2 linked regions of the Drosophila melanogaster genome follow. The protein of the gene in region 2 interacts with the protein of the main gene of each other region in a pairwise test. Each region holds a gene or a part of one and is shown on either strand. Other genes may lie near its edges.

Region 1 (4,389 bases), on a different chromosome or scaffold from region 2:
TAAAGCGTCACACCAAGGGCCCAAATCTCCAGCTCGGGACCCACGTATCTGTTTCCGGCCAGAACCTCCGGACTGCAGTACTCCGTCGTGCCGTAGAACGTGGAGAAGAATTTTCCCTCCTCCATGAAGGTCGCCGATCCGAAGTCAATCAGCTTTATGGTGAAGTTCTGGTCAATTATAATGTTCTCGTCCTTGATGTCCCGATGCAGTATCTTCTGTTCGTGCAGATAGTTGACGGCATCGGCCACCTGACGAAAAATGTAGCTTCCCAGCTTTTCGTCCATCAGGGGCCGCCGCTCTATGAACGTCCATAGATCCATTCCGGATCCGTGCTTCTCCATGACCAGCTGGTAGAATAGATCATTTTCGAAAACATCGAGAACGGACACAATGTTCTTGTGGTTCAGGGTCTGCAGCAGGTGGATCTCGATAGGAACTTCCTTGCAGTCGCGGCTCTTAACCATAAACTGAGAGCAGAGCTTCTCCTTGAGAATAAACTTGGTGATCACCAGCAGGCGGTCGCTGTTCCGGAAAGCCATATTCACATACCCATAGGCTCCTCTTCCGATCTGGCGGATGGACGTGTAGTATTTGCTGTAGTCGCCCAGGTACAATTCGTCCTCGTACTTGGACACCAAGGACAGAGAATTGGGTCTGCTGGAGTTCTGGGCAGCGGTGGTCTTTATCACCTGGCCCAGCGACTGCTCAACAGTGCTGGCCATGCTGTTGAATGTGGACGTTAGGTTTGCATAGTTGTACTTCTCACCGTCCAGCCGAGTGCTGGGGTTGCGGCACACCCAGATGCAGTACACCCGGTTGGAGCAGGGCAGTATCTGGAGGAGCACGGAGTAGACTACCTCTATGACGGAGCCATCGGCGTGAATGGCCTCCCCCACAAAGCTTCCGTTGATGGAACTAAGCAGTCTGGTGGCGGGATTGCTGCCGGAGGCATCACAGGTCTCCGTGGACGCGGACTTCGCCTTGTCAAGGGACGACTCATTCACCTGCGACTGCGATCCTACCTCAAACTCGTCAGCGGGGAAACTGTTTGAGGCATTTACAGGTGTTAGAATGTCATCTATTGTACAATCATCTGGCTGGCGGAGGTCGCAGAATAGACCACTGCTGTTCTCCAGATTGCAGCTTAGGTGGGCATCGCCCACCGAAGACTGTTCGTTGTTGGGCGCCGTCCTGTTAGTCGAGCTCTTCTTGCAGGATTGCAGCGAGGAGTCGTTGTCCACGACGAGGGGATCCGTGTCCGGCTCCCAGTCGTTACTGGTTATCGAGGTGTTCGAAACATTCGGACTCTTCTCCTCGCGAGAGTCCTTGCCGAAATTGGGTAGGATCGCCGATATATGCATGTTCATTATCTTGTCCTGACCATATCCGAACATTAGCAGCGAGAAAGGCTGGTTGCACATCAGTATGTTGCCTATGTCATCTACCACAATCAGGCCACTAAGATTCTGGAACACCCAGACGGTGATATTTAGACCGGTTTTTCCCGAATGGGAATACCCCGCAGAAGCATCCTCGTCCAGGGCTATTAGCAAGCACAGGGGAAACTTTACGTTATCCGTAGTTCGACCAGTAGCTCTCTGCTTCCGCAGGCTCTTGGGGATCTCACGGCTATCCGGATCGGGCAGCTTTATAAACGGGATAAGGGTGACAATGCTGACACCCACCACGCTTTCGACGGATTCATAAAAGAATATGGTGGCCGTGGTGGAGTCAACGGATGTTATCACTCCGGATCTATCGGTGCTGATGTGGCAAATATGCCTCTCCACAGGCTCCGCGACGGCTATGTGTCGGCCATCGCTGCTGATCTGCCGGATCCAGAGAGAGACCAGGATCTTGCCGCCCGACTTGGTCTTCATCTCGATGACCTTTCCACTTAGCAGGACGACCCGGCCCTCATCGCCTTCGATCTGCATCTCCGCCAGGGAGGAGATGTGGCTCTCTGTCTTGCCGTTAAGCAGGTCGAAGAATCCCTTGTTCCTCAACTCCTGCGACGTGTAGCCCAGCAGCTGGCAGGCCTTGTTGTTCACTATAAAAATTTGCCCTGTGTTCGCGTCGATTGTGAATATCGCCTTGTTCGGGTTGATCACCTTTGAGGAGTGCAGATTGGGGGGGGGCATGCTGAAGGAGCTGGCGTCCATCATGTTCAGCATGCCGGACGAGTTCTGGCGACTCTGACTGTGGCTGCCCATAATGGGGTCATCTGGGAATTACACGATTTTTTGTAAATAATTTAGTACCGCTCTTGAGTGTACATCTATATAGCTTTACCATTAGCACATCGGTTTCTGGAGCACTGGGCATTCGAACTACTCAGCTTACCAGCGGCTTGGTCTGTCACGTCGCCCTGATCCTCCATTTAAGCGTCGTATGTTTTCCAAGTCCCAGCGGTTCCAACTCGAGGCCTACAGCTACAACCAAATGAGCGCACCGTAAACATTGGGAACTCTGCTCGTAGAAAATCAATTGAATGGCGCATGCGAAAAGGGGAATTCCCCAGTGGGTCGAACGGAACGCAGACACGTTGAATTGGGCTGGCTTTTGTGGGGTTTCCTTTTGCGTTGAGGTGTCTTTAAATCACTGTATTCGAAAGGTTGAAAATTACACTTGGTTTTATGTACTTTAATGCGAACAAGTTATATATATTTGAATGTCCCGCTAACCCTTAGCCTGCAGCCCTGGCGCCGTCATCGATATAATGGCTCTGGGTATCGATTGCTGCCTAGAACGCACTTACTTACATATAAACTGGGCCTAGCTACGTGTGGAAAAATATCGGAGAGAGCAATACAAAACGTATTGTTCTTCCAAACAGGAAGGTTTTTTTTCGTTTTCCACAAAGTATTCAGTGCAGTGCACACTCGAATATAGTTCGAATACGGTGAAAATGCCACGCATATCCGAAATAGCCGCTTCCGTGGGGCTGCTCCTGCTTATCGGAGTGATCAGTGTGGATGGCCTTGTGAAAGAGGGGGATTACCAAAACTCCCTTTATCAACAGAATCTCGAGTCGAACTCCGCAACAGGCGCAACGGCTTCGTTTCCATTCCTGATGCCCAACGTTTCGCCCCAGACCGTAAGTCCAGGTTCCTGAAAAACGCCATACATATACATCATGGAGTTCGCTCCATATGGATGAACAGATTCGCCCAGCTGCAGCTGTGCGCATACAATTCCAATCAGATTAGAAAAGTCCTCGATATAGGCTCTGGTTTTTCCCGTATCTTCCGCGCGGGGAAAACCCATAAGAGTACTGTGCAAATTTTTCCATATGTTCAGTTGTACCCGAATACACACAATTCGCCACCCACATGTAAGGCCCTGAAACCGAAACCTGTAGATTGCACTTCTCGAACCTGCGCCGTAGATACGAATTTGTTTTTACGAGGGTGGCGAAAAAGGGCAAACGGCCCACTGAAGGCCATACTCCCATTTGAATAATACTTGTTGACTTATCCAATATGCCTGTTCTCTCTAACAAAACTAACAAATATATATATGTGTACATATATAGCCCGATCTGTACTTGTGCACGCCCATCAAGGTCGACCCAACTACCACCTACTATATTGGTACGTCCTTTCGAATGAGATTCATTCCTTAAATACTTCAACTAACCTTTCTATCTTAAATAGTTGGCTTCAATCCTAATGCCACGATGAACACGGCCCACCATATGCTGCTCTACGGATGCGGAGAGCCCGGAACCTCGAAGACCACCTGGTGAGTTGCAAGTGATGTTTTCAGACTAGTAAATAACACGCACATTTTTGCTCACAGGAACTGTGGCGAGATGAACCGAGCTTCCCAAGAAGAGTCTGCCAGTCCTTGCGGACCCCACTCCAATTCCCAGGTATTAAAAGAAAAAGAAATGTCCAAATAGGCCCCCAGATAGACACCACACATTTATTGGGCCGACAAATTTCGGGGACTCGGGACTACAGTTTGGCAGGCTGCGCAAATGGGTTGACCGTTCTCGATCCAGAATTCCCGTGCGCTGATCCTTTTGCGGCAGTGGTGGCACTTAAAGCACTTGGCATGCCACTTGGTGCTCAGCGCGACCACGGCTCGACGATCGATTGGCTTCTCACAGCCTGCGCAGCGGGACGAAAACAGTTCCCGGAAGTGCGCCTTGCAGAACAGGTATCCGTTGACTTCAAAGAAGCTCGCCGAGACCAGCGACTTGCTGCAGCTCACGCACCGGAAACACTTTTCGTGCCACTTGCGCTCCGCAGCAGCCACGCCGCGCTCTAGGATCGGAGTCCGGCAGGCGGAGCACCGAGCGGCATGCTTGTCCAGATAGCACTCGCTGCAGACCACGTCGTCGTCCACCGCGAAAAACAGTTTAGGATCAACCACCAGGCCGCA
Region 2 (5,035 bases):
AATAAACAAACAGTGTTCGACACGGAGAATCGGAGAAAAGCCACCATCAGCGATCCCCTAATTGATAACCCGAATCGAAAGAACCACCGAATGAAAACATTTTCATAAATGCCAATGAAATCAAAGAGGGGGACTGGCGTTAATTAAACGACATCGAACATAAACCAGCGTCTAGATTTCAATTTGGAAGCAGGGAAAGCAGCTGCCTATGAAAAACTAAAAAGAGGGGGAACTAAAAAACGGAGGGGCTGTGCTTTGTGCATAATTAAGCAAATTAAACGCGCATTTTTATGCCTCACGTAGAAACTAAGGGTTGGGGTGGGCGAGTCGTAGATGTAGGAGGGGTAAAGAGGTTGTTAAAACTCGGGGAGTTGCGGCCTTTTCGCACAGGTATCGCATGTGGCAGCCGCAACAGCAGCCAAAGTCGTAGACAACAGCAGCAACATCATCCGACCAGGCAATTTATGAATGCCAGGCTTTGGGAGTAGCATCGACTGACTATCTGAGTACCACACACATACACACGAAACTCCACCTCCTTGTCTACTCTAGTCTTATGCAATAAAAATTATATTAAATTACCCAACAGACGCAACGACAAGAAACCCAAGACCAGCCAATCCTCCAAGATTCGATTTTATTGAATACTTACGAGCTCGGCGAAAGTCGCGAATCCCCAGAAATGTACTTGGCAAGTCGAAGAAGATGATACTCTACACATGTACAGAAATATACATTTCTTTTGAACCATTTATTGGTTTTAGCTTCTAGTAGTTACCCTTAATATCCATTCAATGTAAGTCCTTATTTTAACAGATACCTGTCCGCTAGATATCCACAATATTGCAGCCAAAATTTAAGCAGAAAGCGTACTAAATCTGATTACCCGGAATTGCAGTGTATAAATTTCTCTTTATCGAGCCTCCCCTTTGCGGAATCCAAGTAAATTCCCGCGTTACCAATATCATCTTTAAGGGGATCCCCTCAACGAAAGGGGAACTGCACCCATAGCGAAGCCTACGATAATGATGGTCAGCGCGGACCTTTCAGCTGCCGCTTAATGCCATCATTAGTCCACCGTGGGCTACCGGATATGGCTGATCGTTTGTCACTATAAAAACTGCAGCTGCACTCTGGGCTTTGCAGACATAGCTCTTACCTTCAACCCGGGTAATTGCAATCTAAATTAGTGCACTTTTTATATGCGGCTTAACGGACACAGCCTTGAGTTGTATTCTTTATTGCGGAAACTAATCGATTTGGATGGCGACTAGCTGTAAGTTATACTGGGTAGTGGTCCTGACCGGATATACAGGAATTACGAACGCCATAGATGGCGTCATTAGCTTCGGGCAACTTGCAGACTTTGCCAGAGGCAGGACGAGCAAGACGTTGGGAGAGGACACTCAGATCAAGGTTGTTTACTCGCACCATTAGGGTAGGTTCCTTCTCCACAGATCTACAGACCACGATCTTCTGACAATTTACCGGTGATCCGGTTAACTTGGGAGGCAGGTGCCTGACCGGAGCGTCCGGGAATAGTCCCATGGTTTGAGGACCGACGTCGACACCCACTTTGGGACTATTACAGGATAGACAAGATAGCCCCGTATTGATAAATCCAGCGGCCCTGGGACATGCATCCTTATCCTCAATCAATCTCAGCCGGCGATCTATATCATCGAAGCGATCGCGTATATACTTCTTAAGAGCAGGCATATGCACCTTATCCAGCTTGCTGTCGAGCATATCCTGCAGTTCCTCCATGGTTCCCAGAAAAGTAAGGTTGTATTCCTGAACAAGAGTCCTCAGACCTTCGATCTCCACCACACATTGCTTGACTATTTCCAAACGATTAAATAAAGCTTCGGTTTGCTTAAGAAAAGCCTCAAGTGTGAGGTAGAACTTCTCCAGCTTGTGGCTGACCTCTTCCATTCGGTCCAGAATGGGTGTGGCTATACGTCGCATTAGCTTTTTCATGAAGTCCATGTTGGCCAGCAGACTGCATGCGATCTTGTTGTCCTCATCGCAAACGGTGCACAGATCCTCGCAAGGAGAGGCGTACTGTTCGGCCTGGTTGATCTTGTACTTCTTGTCCTTGGCCTTGTTGCAAATGCGAATCTGCTGAAAGTGACACTCCAACTTGCACTCCAGCTGCTTGATGCGTTTGTCCAACTCTTGAACTTTATCCAATTGCTCGGAAATTGGAACAATAGCCTCCACGTCGAAGGGCAGTGGAGATATTTTGGATTGCTCGAGAATGCGCTCCATACACTTGCCCTCGAAGCCACTTATCCTTACCATATCATTCTGACAGTTCAGTTTCTTGAGAAGGACATTCAAAAGACTTTGGAGTACAGCCACATTTACGTGGGTTAACTCGGGCACACCCAAAGCAATCCTGGTCATTTCCTCTAGGGTTAAATCCAAATGAGCTGGCATTTTTGCACGTTTTTAATTGTTCAAATATAGTAAAAGAAATATAAGAATTTTAGTTTGAGTGAACTCGAATTCGAATGTGTTTAACTCTGATACTGTTTTCCAGGTGGTTCTGTCACTTCGACGATGACAACTATGTCAATGTGCCGAGGCTGGTCAAACTGCTGGACGAGTATAGCCCCAGTGTGGATTGGTATCTGGGCAAGCCGAGCATCTCGTCGCCGCTGGAGATCCACTTGGACAGCGTAAGTGCAAATGCCAGTTATTTTTGCATATTTTCCTATATAGTTCGTAATTACAAGCCTGACTGCGATCGCCTTTCTCCATCTTCTGGCCCGGCCCAAAAGCCGAACCGTGGCCGTTATTTATGTTACCACCAGGGCCATTTGTCTATGCCGCCATTTGGCTTCCAGCTGCCAGCGCAAGCTATCATTAATAACCGATATGATCTGGCGCGGCAAAAGAGTAACAGCAATAGCAATAGCAATAGCAATAGCAGCAGCAGTCTGTATACGAGTCCCAGTTTGAGTCCGAATTTGAACCCGTTTTTCAGTCCGATCCATTTGATATACCGCGAGCTGATCCCGTAATGAATGTACAGGCCATAGTTTTATCGGTTTAGCCAGGTTTGCCAGGGATGTGAGCAAAAGCAACCAGGTAAACTGCGTGCTCAGAAATCCATTCAAAATCTGGCACACCAAACCAATCCAGCCCTGATCGCTGCAGCGTGCATAATTAAAAACCCCAAACTTTACGCTTCATTTGCGGGAGAAAGATCCTGTCGAGTCTCGGCTTACTTTTGGTCCAGACCCATGTATTAAGTTTCCAGCTCGCACATGTCCATTTACATGGTCAATTAATCAAGCCACGTTTCGGTATTAAGCTTCTTTTTCGGTTTTCATTTCGAGTCAATTTTCTCTGGGCCATTGCCAAAAACCAGAAATAAGACGAAGATAAAAAAAAGGATATTTATTTGGGTTTAGCCTTTGGTTTAGTCATCCTCTTTTTTTGGGCTACCCATTCATGAACCAGTTCTTCCGTTAATCTTGGCCCTCTTCTCCACTTTCTTTCGACCTGCAGAAGAACACGACAACAAACAAGAAGATAACCTTCTGGTTCGCCACTGGCGGCGCTGGCTTCTGCCTCAGTCGAGCCCTGACTTTAAAAATGCTACCCATAGCAGGTGGTGGCAAGTTTATCAGCATTGGCGACAAGATACGTTTTCCGGATGATGTCACAATGGGTTTTATTATTGGTGAGTTTGTGCGGAGTAAGCCAAAGTGACCCTGAACTTATATATATATTATTTTATATACAGAACACCTTCTGAAAGTTCCTCTAACCGTGGTGGACAACTTCCACTCGCATTTGGAGCCCATGGAGTTCATACGCCAGGATACGTTCCAGGACCAGGTGTCCTTCAGCTATGCCCACATGAAAAACCAGTGGAACGTGATCAAGGTGGACGGCTTCGATATGAAAACCGATCCCAAGCGCTTCTACTCCCTGCACTGCCAGCTTTTCCCCTACTTCAGCTTCTGCCCGCCCAGATGAACTGGTTGATCCCGATCCGAGGTCCCTGGGGATCCTATTTGGCTGTTGCAGGCGCACGTCTGCACTGGGTCGGTTGTGAACCGCTGGGGCAGGCGTCAAAATCAAATCTCGCCACTGTGATTTAACATTAAGTTTATAGTATACGAGCAACGAAAGGTTCTTTGTATATATATATGTAGCAATACGCTGGACAGATGTGCTTCCTAATGGTATAAGTAATACTGTAGCTGTAGGTCTTGCAATTCCAACACTTCCAAGTGCTTCCCTATAGCGTTACACGCGATTCTTCCAATCGGCTTAGTGCGTAGTTAAATTAATGGTCTAGTCTACGTTTAAGTTATCTTAGATTCAGAGAGACCGCTTGACCCTCTGCTGTGTAATACTGTAATGCAGTCTAATGTTTGCCTAATCTAGCAATATGCATGTATATAGTAGATTAATTAACTAAGCAATGTTTAAACCATTTTGTTAATTTTTAGTTTGCTTGAATAAAACAGAATATTTTATTGAAAAATTTGTGTTGAATATTGATTATTTCACAAATGTGACAAAGTCCTGCAAAGAACTTTGATGGCAGTTAAGTAATAATATCACATGTACAGTACCCCCTCTGCGCTTCTCAATGTTATTAGGAACGTAACAATATCAAGAAATGTCAACATCCCTTTTAGTTGATGGTTGTTTGAAGTTAAATAAGTTTTCAGTAAAATGGTTCTAAGAGTGGCTGACTCTGTTTAAAAATCCCAGTGAATGACTATACTTCTCTTAAGCTGGCTCAATCAAGCGATAAATGAACTGGCACAATGGCTTATAATGGTTCTTAAGTCTCCTGGACATGAATAATGTTGGCCATTTAAAATTCGAAAAAATCCATTGCATGGCAGACAGAAATTTGGAATGCAAATCTCCCCCAAGGGTCCTTGAACTTCGTTGTTTTCGACTTGTTAGCCCATCGATGTTGCTGCGGTCGGCCGGCTTATCAGTTTCGTGTAAACGAACATTCTGTCTACTTGTTGTTTGCGCAGCTTCCTGTTGCTGAGCG

What was found. The genes of interacting proteins can lie anywhere in the genome.
Region 1: the proteins of CG10589 (region 2) and Phm interact in a two-hybrid assay, tested with the Drosophila melanogaster proteins (one large-scale study listed by BioGRID).

Annotation. Positions count from the first base shown.
Region 1 is NT_033778.4:23,986,822-23,991,210, reverse strand, and holds the start of Phm (Peptidylglycine-alpha-hydroxylating monooxygenase), read left to right. Parts: upstream 1-2,755; 5' UTR 2,756-2,908; coding exon 2,909-3,097; intron 3,098-3,535; coding exon 3,536-3,593; intron 3,594-3,656; coding exon 3,657-3,744; intron 3,745-3,801; coding exon 3,802-3,874; intron 3,875-3,902; exon of another isoform or gene 3,903-3,927; coding exon of another isoform or gene 3,928-4,389. Other genes in the region: Pask (PAS kinase), read right to left, coding at 1-2,224, 2,293-2,380; CG30178 (uncharacterized protein), read right to left, coding at 3,928-4,389. UniProt on the Drosophila melanogaster protein: Monooxygenase that catalyzes an essential reaction in C-terminal alpha-amidation of peptides. Produces an unstable peptidyl(2-hydroxyglycine) intermediate.
Region 2 is NT_037436.4:20,925,358-20,930,392, reverse strand, and holds CG10589 (uncharacterized protein), read right to left. Parts: upstream 2,546-5,035; 5' UTR 2,443-2,545; coding exon 1,282-2,442; 3' UTR 1,203-1,281; downstream 1-1,202. Other genes in the region: fng (fringe), read left to right, coding at 2,546-2,684, 3,520-3,694, 3,758-3,993.